3 linked regions of the Drosophila melanogaster genome follow. The protein of the gene in region 1 purifies or fractionates together with the protein of each later gene. This does not show direct contact. Each region holds a gene or a part of one and is shown on either strand. Other genes may lie near its edges.

Evidence for each region.
Region 2: the proteins of spz5 (region 1) and kek2 purify together in Drosophila melanogaster (affinity purification with western blotting, with the first as the bait; one study listed by BioGRID). This does not show direct contact.
Region 3: the proteins of spz5 (region 1) and kek5 purify together in Drosophila melanogaster (affinity purification with western blotting, with the first as the bait; one study listed by BioGRID). This does not show direct contact.

What each region holds. Positions count from the first base shown.
Region 1 is NT_037436.4:2,889,058-2,894,170, reverse strand, and holds the start of spz5 (spatzle 5), read left to right. Parts: upstream 1-2,004; 5' UTR 2,005-2,304; intron 2,305-4,925; 5' UTR 4,926-5,007; coding exon 5,008-5,070; intron 5,071-5,113. UniProt on the Drosophila melanogaster protein: Neurotrophin which may function as a ligand for the Toll-related receptors Toll-6 and Toll-7. Binds to Toll-7 and Toll-6, and probably acts as their ligands in the promotion of motor axon targeting and neuronal survival in the central nervous system (CNS).
Region 2 is NT_033779.5:11,580,298-11,584,972, forward strand, and holds the start of kek2 (kekkon 2), read left to right. Parts: upstream 1-1,639; 5' UTR 1,640-2,805; intron 2,806-4,675.
Region 3 is NC_004354.4:19,351,572-19,356,281, forward strand, and holds the start of kek5 (kekkon 5), read left to right. Parts: upstream 1-1,609; 5' UTR 1,610-2,082; intron 2,083-4,710.

The sequences.
Region 1 (5,113 bases):
TAGTAAAATTAAGATAATTATTAAAAAATTTTCTTAATTATTTGGAGTATTAAAATTGATAATTAGTAAAATTGGTCCGGGTTTTTAATCAACATATAAACAATAAATAAACAAACTTGTGTAATATTACTTAGCTTCTGTCAGCTAGCAATCGAAGATCACAACCAAAAGGCGAAACGACCGAGTTTTTCTAGCGTTTTCGAGGCGGTTCCGATACGTTTCTTGGTTTAGAGGAGATACTTCATAAAATAGGCCGATCTTTAAGCGGATCGACCCTAAGCACCTTTAGCCATTACGTCACGGGCAGCGGGTGATGTTCGGCGAGCTAGTGGGCCAAAAATAATGGAAAAGAGGTACAAATTGCCCAGGGCAATCGACGGCTTTAATGGTTTCATTGGCCAACCGGCGGCATTGAGTTGGTGGACCCAGCCCCTAATTAACCCTTTCGCAATTGCAGCTAAGCCTTAAAACGGCGGTGGGAAGTTGGGGGAGTGGCCCCTCCACGTGTTATATACATATGTAGCCGCGATAGTTTTAGGTATAAAATGATACCTTTGGTCCCGATACCTTGGGCTCGGAGTTTGATTAATGAGCGGCTTAAGTGAATCTCAAATCGAATCTGAGCCTGCTCGGCCGGCAGACTGATGAAGTCACTAATTTGACTTAAAAACGCATTAAAAACCATTTTCGATAAGAGCTTGGAGCCCCATATTGTGATTTCGGCGAGGGTTTTCCCGTACTTTTCTGTCTAGGTCTCGTCTTTGTGAAAGTTGTGCAAAATTGGAGCCAAGAAACCAAAATTGAACGATGAAGCACCCAAGGCGACGGATAAAATTCCAAAACCGCCTCGGAAGATTTGAGAGTGCAAATCTCTTGCTATTGGCAATCAGCTGTAAACATAAATAATGTTCGAGTTTGCGGAGAGTGGACTAACTGGATACCCAGTGAGTAAATCATGTAACCATACTCATTTTTATCACTAATTATCGAATTTAAATAATTCATTTCATTTTCTGAAAATCTTGAAAATCTTACTAGATATATTTCGGTCTATTTGGCTTATACTTTGAACCATAAAAATAATTTAGGCCTTTGATAGTTTAAAACTATTTTACGGTATACATCTCTTTCAACCTTTTTAAAAATTAAATTTATTTGTTTTTTTCTAATTATGTACACACATATTGCATATTCAATACTTTAAAATAAATTGACAGAGAAATTACTGCTCAGCGCTTTCTTCTTGGTTAAAAAGTATTGTAAATATTTATTAGGAATGAAAAAAAAAAAAATAATTCCCAATATACCTGTGCTGAAATATTACCCATAATTCCAGCTTTGGCAACGCGCAAAATTGATTTAAATGCCTTCGACGAGAGACAAAATCGGAGGTAACTCCTACAATTGTGCGTGGTCTTGGCCATTAAAAGCCTTTTCTTGCCAACATTCAATGTCTGTGCCGGAGGCAGCGCCAAATCAAATCAACGGCAGCAGTCACAAATCTGCGACAGATAAAAGCTGTTAACTGACCTTCATTGGCCATAAAAATCCAAATTCATCGCCCGAACAATGCGCCGTATCTATGGGCCAAAACCGGCGGCAACGACGAACAACAATTGGCGAGCAGAAAAATTAACAATTTAAATAAATTCACTTTATTGCAGTTCGCATATTGGCGACAATGTAAAATAAACAATAAAAGTGGTCAATAAATAAGGCCCACGTCATATCGAATGGCCCGAACCACTGGACTTCCGGTCTTGAATCGGGCCAAAAAAGAAAAAGAAAACCGCACCACATATCACATTATACTATGTGGCCAACGACATGAATCACGGGCCAAAAAGTTCAAAGTTGAGCGGGCTAAATTGAGAGATTAGCCTGGGAGATCAGAGCCGGCTATATCTTTTGCTATATAGCTCTGCTCTGACCCAAGCTCTGCTTTTCTCTGCCTCTTTTCCCGAGTTTGCGGCTCTGGGCCGCTGTTAACTTGGCTAAGACCGCTCAGTTGGCTACGAGCTGCCGCCGTGAGCATTGGCAAACGCGTGAAACGGAAAAGACGAAAACGAAATCGAAATCGAAAACCTAAAGTCCAAAAACCGAAATATCCGCGCTCTTCGGTACGTGTTAAGTTTTTTAATTAGTAGAATTTTCAAGTGAGTGTTCGGTGGCAAAAAAAGAGAAAATATTTCACTGAAATACAAAGAGCATAGCTAAGCTCGACAAAAGTGCACATAGTGATCAAAAACATTTGCCAAATACTGTGAAGCAAAAACCCAAACAAATCTACAAGCCGCACACTAGGTGAGTAATTATTAAATTGAATACTTTAATTCCCGCCATAAGTTAATAAATTTCATTGGTTCGTCATCGCAGCTCTGATTTATTATAACGCTTGATTGTTTTCCTTCTTTTTGTATACACTTGTAACCAAAATGTTAGGAAACCAGCAAACACAAATTAAATCAAAGCGATCACAAAACAAAATCCACAAAAAATGCAGACAACACTTTGGGTAAATACAAACAAAATATAATCAAGTGGGGAGAAAAAACCTTGAAAAGTCGTGCTTAATTTCTTAGCTAAATGCAGGCATAAAATATATGTTTAAAAAATTATAATGAAGCTCAGCTATTTGTCTGCCTCCAATCGAATCCATTGTTTTAGTCCCTAAATTAGCTTCAAATAACCCAACCTCTTTGTGAAGGAAAATAATTCAGAGGCTTTGGAAAAAATGCCCGAAGCAGAAGTCTGTCTCTTTGATAGTTTATTTAATGGATAGAAGTAAGGATAGATATTGTGGAAAGTATACAAGTTTACCAATTAAATAAACTAGAGAGCTTAAAACTTTCCTGTGTCAAACACTCGCGTAATAAAAACTTAATAAGCAATCATTATTATTAAATAGCTTTATAATTAATTAGCAGCATTTCGTTTCATTCAGCTCTTTTTTTTAGCCTGCTAATGCTTCAATTAGATGCCAACAAAATATTTTATCCCCTTAAAAAAGTGCCAATCGGGTGAATAAGTGAGAATGTCTGGGCGAGACAAAGATAAAGATCTGACAATCGATCATTACTCAGGCGGGATATAATTAATTAAATATAGATAGATGATTTTGCGGCCAAATCATTCAAATAAATTGAATGGGGCCCAGCGATTTTGAGCACTCAATTTCGAAAATGATGCCGCAGCCAATGGATTAGCCGCTAAAGCTTGGTCAAAGATCTTTAACAATTTCATTAACTTTTGGCCCGTCGGCCTAATGATGTGCAAATGGCCCAAAACACACCATAAAACACGCTGCCACTAAAGTTGCCAAGGGAAACAATGCCAAAACCCATGTCCAACTTCTTTTGGCTGCTCTGTGATTTATGAGGTGATCGCCTGGCGCAACTTTGGCATCGGGGAAATACCAGCAATACGTGGGTGTAGCCATGTGCAAGACTCCATTAGCAGATCGCAGACACTAAATCTGGCTTCGATGCACAGCAGAAAACATGGTTGGAAACGTGGTTTCAAAATACCTAAGCTATTTTAATCTCAGAGAAATATGTGTTATTATATGTATATATAAAATTGTATAAGCATTTAAAGCCCAGCTCAACTACTAAACAACATTTTGTGTTTCAAACTTCTGTTTGATACTTTAATATGCCGTGAATGTTCATTTATTATAATTGTTTTCTTTATTTTTTCATTTTTAATATTATTAATATAATTATTTCCTGTGTACCTTGACGGACACTTTGTCATTGGCTCTTGTTTGTTGACTGATTTGTTTTGCTTGGCTCGTGCAAAAGAGCCTGTGATCCCGGAAATCCTATCGCAGCTTGTGGCAGGTGTTTTTGTATCGGTATAAATTCCAATTGATTCTTGAATGCTCGCTGTTTTTACAGGCACCCCATGTCTGAGTGTTAAAGGCAATTGTTATTGCTTTTTGTTCTATAAATAATTGTGGTACACATTATATTGAAACTATAGCAAAACTTGACACGAAATCCGGTTTTTACCATTGACTGTGACAGCTTTAGATTTGATCACTTGTTAGCATTGTTACATTATAATAATTAAAATATTTGTATAACATTTTTTGTTAATTTTTAGCTCACTTTCGTTAGTTATGTCAGCTGTTAATTAACATTTAATTACGGGATTTTTAATTTTCCCAGATTTTAAAAGTTGATTTCATACGGGAAACATGTTGGGAATTTTTCTTTGAGCTTCTTGTTCATATAAAAGCATTGCTAACTATCGAAATCTAGTCAAAGTTATCTCATAGTTTCCGCAATAAAAACTGCTTGTATTATTATATATATATTCTCTCCAACAGTTGGTAATATATCACTTTAAATATGCAAAATATCTTGCATTGATCTAAACTTAAATTGTCTATAAAACATCCGATTTAAATACCGGCATATTGAAATTCCGTTTTAGAGTCCTAATAAATCATTAGAGTTTATAAGTATTGTCATTAGCTGACAGCTCGGGTCGCCAATTGAGAACGCCCCCACAATGCATGGGGCGTGTCCAGTCCATTATCTTCGCGGCGTATACTTAATCTGCGTATACTTAATCTTGTTGTCTGGAGCTTGTTCGTCACTTTCACTTTTGGCAATTTATTTTCGCTATTTACGGGAGTTGTTCGAGTTGTTTGGCTGTTGTTTGCTCAAGAGGCTGTCGGTGGTGTAGTTCGTGTTTGTGTTATTGTTTTAGTTGTTGATTGTTTAACTTAACAATAAGCCCAAGTGAACTGTGGGCAACAAATAAGCACTTTGAAGCATTTCCGCTGCGGAAAAACCATCACTTATTGTCTGTTTCGTGTCCCAATGGAAATGGTGCGAGAAATGGTCGTGTATTTGCCATTTTTTTGCGACTAATATTTGACCAAATAACTCATGGCAGTTTCTCTTTCGCTTCAGGTTTCCGAATTCACGTTGAAGACACTGGCTGAATCGCAATCGAGTCAAATGCAAATGCAAATCGACGGCGAATGAATTGACAATGACAAAAAGTATTAAACGTCCGCCCCCCTTTAGTTGTAAACAAGTTCTTCTTACCTATGTGGTGAGTATTCCTTCTCCCAGTACTCCTTATTATACTTCAAAAT
Region 2 (4,675 bases), on another chromosome or scaffold:
CCCAAGGTGCGTATACTTAACGCAGCCTTAATTATTGTACTTCCCGACAAAGGAGAATTTTCGCGGAGGAGGACAAAGATTGTAAGCCAACATTCATAATGTGCAATGGCTCGTTTACTCGGCAAGACGACAATCTTGTCTCCTTGATGCCGGGCCAATGTAAATTTAAATAAAAATGCAGATGAAATCGGAGATACAAACTTAGCTACAAGCTGCCTACGGAATTGATTTGAATGACCAAGGAGGAGCACGCAAAGCAGAGAAAGCCCCGAAGAATAACAATAAACATTTCTATCTGCTTCATTGGTTATTTACTCATTTCGATAGAAGGAGAGGCATCAAACAAGAAAAACAGCGTAAAACGAAAAATTCCCATCTCTGGTTTTATTTCTATTTTTTTTCCAGTTTTGAAATCGCGAAAAGGACTTCGCTTGATGGCATCGAAACTAAAGCAGCCAAATAAGCAACCGCAGGGCAGGGTCTGCTGATTTTCTTCTGTTTTTTCCTTTTTCATACATATATATATATATTTTGTCGAAGACAGAAGCTGCTTATAAAGCAATATACAATTCGGGCAGCCAGGCAACAACAATCGAACCGAATCGATATTTTTCGCTGCTGGCTTTCGCCAACCGCCCACTTCTATATTTTACCCCAAGACTTCTTCTTGGCTTCGGTTCTGGCCAAAATGGATTTTCGGCACCTCCGCAGGGACCCGCTTCGCTCGGTGTCACGGGTATTTGGGCGGGGCTGTGTGTGGGCGGTGGGGAAATGCACTGGCAACTGAAGCCTCCGATTCCGGCCACATATCCCGCCGGCTGAGGACTTCAGCTTGGGAGTTTTCACGCCAGAGTCCGTGGTGAAGTTTTTCCACCCGCTCGGTCAGTCAGCTGCTAGTGTTGAGGTTGGCTTTTCAGGCTGTGCGCTTTGAATTTCCAGAGTGGCGCCGACTCCCTTAACGAGTGCTCTGTTATAACAACTGTGATACTAGGAGAGCATCCCATAGGGGGAAATTATCTGGGAACAGTTTGTATGATTGCTCTTATACTGAAAAGGGCCGGATATAAAATAGAACGGAATAGTGTTCACCAAGAAAGCGGGCAAGGAGATCACAAACAATAACAATAATAAAGATTTATAACTTAAAAATGTTGCCCAGGCATGTATATGTTTAAACAACATATTTTATTTAAATATATTTTATTATTGCATTTTCTTTAATCTCTTCATAACTACTGTATTCTGGTTGCTTCCGTTCAATACGAATATTTCCATTTTATATGTTATATCTATTTTATATGAATTTCTGAATTGTAGGTAAATTTTTATCAAGTTGTATTTAGTATTTATGTTACTTAAGTTGTCATATCAATTGTTAATAGTATGCAATTGACAAGTCCCGTTGATTTGGTTTTTAATAGGCATATAAATCACATTGAAAATATAAATAAGGTAGCTGAGAGACCGGTGAAAGTGGTGGGCGACTTTCCCTTGCGGCTCTTTCTCTTCTACACAATCTCTCGCTCTCTCGGGAGAGAGCGTGTATAACAGTTTGTTTGCCGAGTGAAAAACGAGGCACGAGGACGCTGCCGAGAGAGGAGGCCGAACTCCGCTTGGTTTCCACTTGGCGGAGGCGTCTGCCTGCCTGGAAATCCGTCGAGCGTTGCGGGCGCAGCAGTTGAAAAGCGTACGCCGTGAGCGACAGACACGCCGCAGTCGATCCGTTCGAGTCCGTTCCGCTCCGTTATTTTCGCTCCGAACCGGACGGATCCGTAAACCCGCCCGTGGAGCACTCCGCCGGAATTAGAGCTGCCAAGAGCCAAAGGTCCTGACCAGGTGGTCAACTAATCCGTAGTTAACTCAACTAAACCCGCAGTTAGCTCCTTGGTGCCTGGGTTTCCCTGTTTCTGTGCGTGTGTGTGTGTGTCTGTGTACAGTGGCAAGTGGAAAGAGGCAAGAGTTTGGGAGGGGGCAGCAGTACGTGTCGCCATAAGAATTTTCCGAGTGCGCCGGGTAACGCGAGACGGGAAATTCGGAAAACAACCTGAAATCCATTTGCCGCAATTTGAGAAGCCAGCGACAACAACATGTGTAAACGCTAACGAGCGCGAAAACGCGAACATTTTGATTGATTTTTGATTGACATGCCACTCAGCGCATGCCACCCACCTCGAAAAGTGACAAGAGAAAAATAACAGAGGGGGCAAAGATAAAATAAAACAAACAACAAACTTGAGGAGCACTCGCTGCAACATGTATTCACTACAAAATCAAACAAAATATTGAAACGTTGTAAGCGATTTCGGGTCTAAAAAATAATTGCCTCAAGGGCTGTCAGCGAAAGTGCCAGCGCAAACAGCAAAAAATACATATATATATTCCACAAACAAAATGCAATCAAATCAAGGCCCATAAAAACCGAACAAGGAAAAACCAAGTTGGGCAAAAAATCAAACAAAGTAATAATAAAAATCCACAGCATCAGGCGGCTAATCAACTGCCATATACATATAAAAAAAAAACGCTGAGTTTGGCAACTGTTTTTCTGGCTTCTCGGTTGGATTTCCTACTCCTTTGCTGTGTCAGTGTAGTGGTGTATTTTATTTGTATATGTATGTTTCATGTATATTTGTGCCTGGCTATGAAAAAAGGATAAAATATGCCGACATTGATTTTCTCCTGCGACAACAACAGCACCACCACCGTCAACATCATCGGCTAAACAACAAAAGCAACATCCTTAATAAGAATCGAGGCGAAAAAGTTGCAGGATTCGACGAGGGCAAAGTTTTTCGGACATTTTCGGTATGTTGTTTCTAATTTCTGCACTGTTTTAGTTATTCCGCTTGTTGTACATATAACTCAACAATATTGCTGTCAAAGTTCTGACAGTTTGAACTTTTTATATGCTCGAACTCCTCCTCATCTTAACCCGCATTACGATTTTGGGGTCGAAGGAGCCAAATTCGATATTTGTTATGCGCAAAGTTGCTTGTATAATTCAGTTAAATGCTTGTAAATAAACAAAAGTGTTCGATTTAAAAGAGTTGGCCACGAGAAGTTGGGCATTGTGAGGATTGGCTTCATTGGGGGATTGGCAATGAAGTTCACCAGGAGTTTGGACTTATAAAAGAGTTCCAACAACTTTGGACAGGAGCTCCAAATAATTGAATGGCCAGTATTTGTTTGCAGATACAACCCTTTTGGGAAGTAACCTTCGGCTCTTGTCATTAATTTGTTCAACATTCAATTAAGCTCGTGTAAATTACGGTTGTCAAATGGCTTGCGAACCAGATAAAGCCCCTTTGATAAGGTCATTTAATTACCAAACACACAAAGTACCCTGAAGAAAAACTTGCTGATATTTATTTGAAATGTTTGTGCTGTGGCTTTGGTAAATTTCAAAAAAAGGAAAGGTGCACGAACCACAACAAAGGAACTCGCCATGCCCCCATTTCTAACCTCCCCATCTGCTCGAAATTGGAACCTTTTTTGTGGCAATCGGGGGGTTAAACTGCAAGTATTTCGAAGCAAGTATTTTCGAAAGACGTGTGTTTGTCTCGAAATGAAATGGAATCGAGCAAATGCCGAAGGCAGTGCCTTTTCAACGCTGACGGCGTGCAAATGAGAAAATTCATTATTTAACATTAATTAGGGCTTATTATGCACATTATCAACACAGTGAAGCGAACACGCACACACGTATGCTAACCGCATTAAATGTCAGTCAAAGACTCGACTAAGTAAACACAAGCGTATGTAACTTTACTGTGTGTGTGATTCTGTGGACAACTATCAACCACACCAAGCCACACACACACACACAAATACAGGCTCACGGGCTCACAGCACAGGTGAAAGTTTTACTTTCCACTGAGCCCCCCACACCGAAACCCCCAAAAGGAAAGTCAGGTTCATAACTCAACGCCCATCAGTGGAAAGTGGAGGGGGATGCGCGGTGGGGGTGGCCAGCAAGGAGCAAACAGGAAGCGAAGCGGCAACGAAAAAATACAGGCAACTTATGGAAAATTTCCTGGCTTCAGCTAGACTAAATGCTACCCAGCTATTCCACTTTCCAGTAAAAGTAAAATTAAATTAAACTGTGCGTTTGAGGGAAAATGGTCTTATTTAAAATGTTTTTATTTTAATTGTTTTCATTTTAAATTTTTATATAAATCTGTTCAAATATTTTAAAAATTCTAAACCAATTTGTGCGCCCAAGTTTTTGTGCATCTATAAACTCCACTGCACGCTGACTTCCTGGCCCAATATGCCCAACACGATAGCTTTCACCATCCGCTGGGCGGAAGGTAGGGGGGGAGTGTAAATTATTCAGTAAATTGTTAAGTAAATAACACGAAGGGCGCACGTTAAAAAGCAACCGAAAGACAACAATAACAGCAGCCAGAACACAACAACGTGCACAGACATCAACACCGTCCAACTCCGACCCAACCTTGTCCTTGCGTCTAGGGCCGCCGTGGAAATTTACCTCTCATATATGGATATGGCGGTGGTGATAATGTTGGTGATTCCGGGTCTGATGATAATGATGATGATGATGTTCAGCAACTGAAGCCAAGGCGAATGATGACACGCCGAACAGTTCACGGCTCAGCGGAATTGCCGGCAGCAAATGTACAATAAAATAAACACCAAATGTGGAAAGCTAGCC
Region 3 (4,710 bases), on another chromosome or scaffold:
TTTAGTTTCTGCATTTCAAATCAAAAAAATATACATCTTTTATTTTAAAACTTACACAATCAATTGGCGAAAAAATCGATTGCTCGCCAACACTTCTATTTCCCTATAACAAAAGATGCGTTTTTTAAATAAATAAAAAAACCAGTATTTTTTCTGTAAAAGATTTACTTTGCTTGTTTAAATTTTTTTAATTAGAAATCAAATTAACCAAATTTAAAATTAGGGTGTCCATAATTAGTTGTCGACTTTTACATTTCAAAACATTTTCAAGAAGTGTAGGCGTGGCAGATTTGAGCGATTTGTGGGCGTTAAAGTGGAGGTGCCAACATTACTTGACAACTAACTTGCGCTGCGTATGCCTCTTAAATCTTCAGGTCTAATAAAAAATTAGCTTCACTTTCTGGTATCTCTTATAAATAAATAGGAAATAAAGCTATATTAATATTAAGGCATAATAACAAACATCGAAAACTTCCAAAATTAAGCAATTTAAAGTATCTTTCATTGAAATGTAGTAATAATGCCATTGCTCTTATGCTATTATCAATGTGTACTGGTTTCCCATGATACCTTACTATTTAATTTTATGTAAAGGGAACCTTACATATTTATGTATTGGATTGGAATTGCCACTCGTTTCTCGCAGTGTATCTGGCTGGCTCCACACATGGGCGCGTGTATGCTCTCCCCTTACTGACGTACTTAATTCTTCGCAGTTATTCAGGGGCACAGAGAACGCTTCACTTTCCTTCTTTTTTCGCCGGTGACGTAATTAATGATGCTAGCCGCTGAAATTTTAAAATGAATTGCACTACCAAGCAGCAGCTCCTTTCCATTTTGTTCGACGATCAGAGGTCTTAAAATCAAACTTCTGTCAACTGGCTGATGAATTCATTCAGTTTCTAACGTTCGCGATGGAGCTGAAATTCTTATTTTGTGTTCAACTGATTTTTTGAATACATATGTATATATTTTGTACTGAGCTCTGTTCTTGAGAAGGGAGAATCTATAGTCGAGTATATCGGTTACTTGGCTAATGGAAATGCGAACGCGAAATTTTAACATTTTTCTTAGGTAGATATTATTGGGGAATGAAATAAGAAACTATTTAAAAATTGCTTGGGTAGTTTTTGGCGGCTTGTGAGCGTTAGAGTGGGCGTGGCAAAATGGGTCAACAAACTGGCTCTGCGTCTATGTTTATGTATAGAACATGTATGCTTAATCTCAACATCCTAGCTGTACAATAAGACAAAAAAAAAAAAACACATTTCATTGGCATCAGAATCGTTAAGGGTAAAATTGTCACGACTTTCGTACCATGGTTTTGTTTGATTTGATTATGGTGATAACTAAAATTATTTTTTTTTATTGAAAAAAAATTATTGATTTTAATTTTTTTTGTTTTTGTATACATTCATTAAGTGAAAAATCGCCGTAAATTTGATTTTATAATTCGTTACACACGTTTTGTTTCAGTGCTTTGTTGCTGTTGCAACCCCTCAGCTGACGTTCCAGTCGAACATGTTGCATGACGGCTCGGCTTAGTTCGGTTCGGTTCGCTGCGACTCGGTTCGATGCGGCTCGAGCGGCCTGCTCTCGAACAGATGTGCGTCGCAGTGTTGTTGCAAACGCCGGTCGCGTAGGTTGTTGCTAGAGTGAAACGTCGAGCGCATCGCCCACCCACATACACATATGTACGTACTCGAGTGCGCGAAGCAGTCAGTTGTTGCCGCCAATTGAATGGACAGTCGCGGTTAACGAAACACGAAAAGTCGTCTCGACTCGCCTCGCGTCGCGTGGAGTTCACTTGAGTTGAGTGGCGGCTAGTGTGTGTGTGTTTGCTTTTTTTTTCGAACGCCGCCAAACACGCGGCTGTTGCGGCTGTCCCGGAGTGCATTACTCACACTTTTTTTTCGGTTACTTGCAAGTGATACCCCTTAAACGAAAACAACAACAAGCCCCCCCCACCCACACACCACTTCAACCCCCTCACAAGCAGCTAAAGCCAAAAGGTGATTATATTTGGAAAAGTCACGCCGTGGAGTAAATAACGGAGCGGAGAGCGGATCAACACAAAGCGTGGTAAAGAGAGTGGAGAGATAAAGAGTTAAAATAAGTGCATAGAGTGCGAGTGGGAGAGATAGAGCGAGCGAGCGGGAGGGAGAGTGTAAGTGCTGCCCGTGTGTGAGAGTGTGTGTGTCTGTCTTCATGTACGTATGTGGCTTCTTTCAATGGTAGTCGTGTGTACCCGTTGAACCGGTTCAACACTCATCTTCGACTTACCTGCAAAACAACAGAAGCAGCAATGATAACAACAACAACAACGACAACAGCAGCGACTGCAGCGTGGTTTGTGCTTGGAAAAACATGAAAAACTGAAACTGAAGCAAAATGCAGCATCGCCAGAAGCAGCAGCAACAACAAAACGAGAACAACAACGTGCAGCTGCAGCAATTGTAATGTCAAATGAATCAAACAAACTGCATCATTTGCGTTTCCGAAGGCAGGAAAATAAGGGAAAGGCAAAGAAATGAAGAAAACATACATATTACATATGTATATATAAACATATATATTTAGGTATATATGTACGTATGTACGTAAAGTGCAGTCTGCAGTTTAAAAGCCATTAACCCCCAAAAACTGAAGTAACGAACCATCCGCACGGAGATCGCTGTTTTCCCCACTGAACTAACTTAATTCGTTTAGCCAGAATACACTGATCCCGTTGCAAATTGGTGGCTAATATGCAATATGATATTTAATTTGCAACCATATATTCTGCATATTTCACGCGTGTGTGCGTGAGCGCTGTAGGGTTAATACGAGAGCGCTCACTACCTGCGCGCCCTGCCAAGGGTTAAGCACTCAGGCAAGAAGTTTCGCGTGTAATTGACGTTGCCAAAAATTAAGAAAGAAAGAAAAACAAACAAACAAACGCAGAACAAAACAAAACAAAACAAACCAGTAAGGGAAGAACAAAAGCACGAACAGAAATTAGAAGACAGCGAACAGAAGAGAAACTTAACTTTTTCTCTGTTCTTATTTCAGGTTATATACCCTTGCAGATGGCACATTAAATTCGGTATATCGGAATATCATGATCAGTATTTAGAGTCTAATTAACGGTCCACCTGTCCGTTTGTCTGTCCATTTCCATAAAAAAAAGTCTCAGTTTTATAGCTATTGCATCATGTACATAGCTGTCATAGGAAAAATAAGAAAATTAACTGAAAGTGATAAAATAATCATCGGTTCTTAATCATGAAGTATTGCTCGGTATACAGGTGTTTTGTATTATTACTGCAAGGGTATGTAAGTTTCGGCTTACTTTCTTGTTCGCTTTTTTGTGTGTTTGTCCATGCAGTACAGTTAGCCGCCAGTGGTACTGTCGAAGTGTGCGTGTGTTTCTGCGGGTGCTATTACCTTGGTATTATTGGTAGGTATGTAGGTGCGTGTGTGTGTGTGTGTGTGTGTGAGTTGGTGTTTTTGGCGGAGCACTTTTTGTTTTCATGAATTTATCCTTGGGACGAATAAGAACTGCAGGCGAAAGGAGCGAAAATGTAGCAGGAGGACAGGGGAAATCGGGAAAGCTAAAAACAAACAAAGGGATTAGCAAAGATGCGAATATTGCGGCCCAGAAATTAAGACCACAAGAAAAAGTGCCAATAAGAGTTGTTGGGAAACAATTGGAGGATATACCCACGCCCAAACATTTTTGATGTGTATGCAGTGTATGCATTCGCTTTGAGGAATGCTTCATCTGGTTTCATCAATCTTTTGACGGAAATGGAGTTTATACATATGTATACTATCCTAGAAATGCTATAAATTAAAATAGTGCGCGTTATTTACGGAAAATATAAAATCTGTAGTCAAAATTTATGTTTACTACCCTAAATTTTTATGGGTATTAAATGGTATAATATGATTATGGATCTAATTTTGGGGCGCCTTTTTACTACAAGCCAAATTAAATATGACAGAAATGGAATTTTTCGATTTAGGGATGCGTACGACTATTATGATTTCCTCATGACGAAAATAGATTTTCCACTTCAAAAGACAAATATTCCCTACTCTTTCTACTGAGTAACATAGAAAAGCGGTGCAGAAATCTACACTTAATTTTTGTCTCACAAAACACTTGGATCAAACAGAAACAACAAATTTGGTACCCATACAATATGTACAGTTGCCACAAAAACGATCAAGACCAATTAGAAATGTGTATGTATGTATTTGATTGAAAGCAATTATTAAACAAAATTCACTTAAGTATTGTTTTTTTTTTTATTTTCTACATGAACCATTAATCGAAATGATACTAAAAGGAACATGTGAGACATTTATAAACAAGCACTTGAAGCCATATGTACATACATACATAGCATAGATTAGTCGTCAATCTTATAGATAAAATGTTGTAAAAAACGTTCTGCAATAAATAAGATTTACAATTAAAAACCAAATAAGCACATGAAAGGGATTTTCTTTTCTATGGCTTTGAACATCTCACATCTGTAATATTACATTCAACCCAAGTAAGTGTAATTAAAGATTATCCAAGGAAAGCCTGAATAAGGATTTTAGAAAAATCATAAATAACGTTAAGCAAAAAGTACTTGAAGAGATTTACCTTCAATTTGTTGACAAGACGAGACGAGACGAAGTTTTCAGTGCGATTTGCGTCTGGCTTAAGCTGAATTT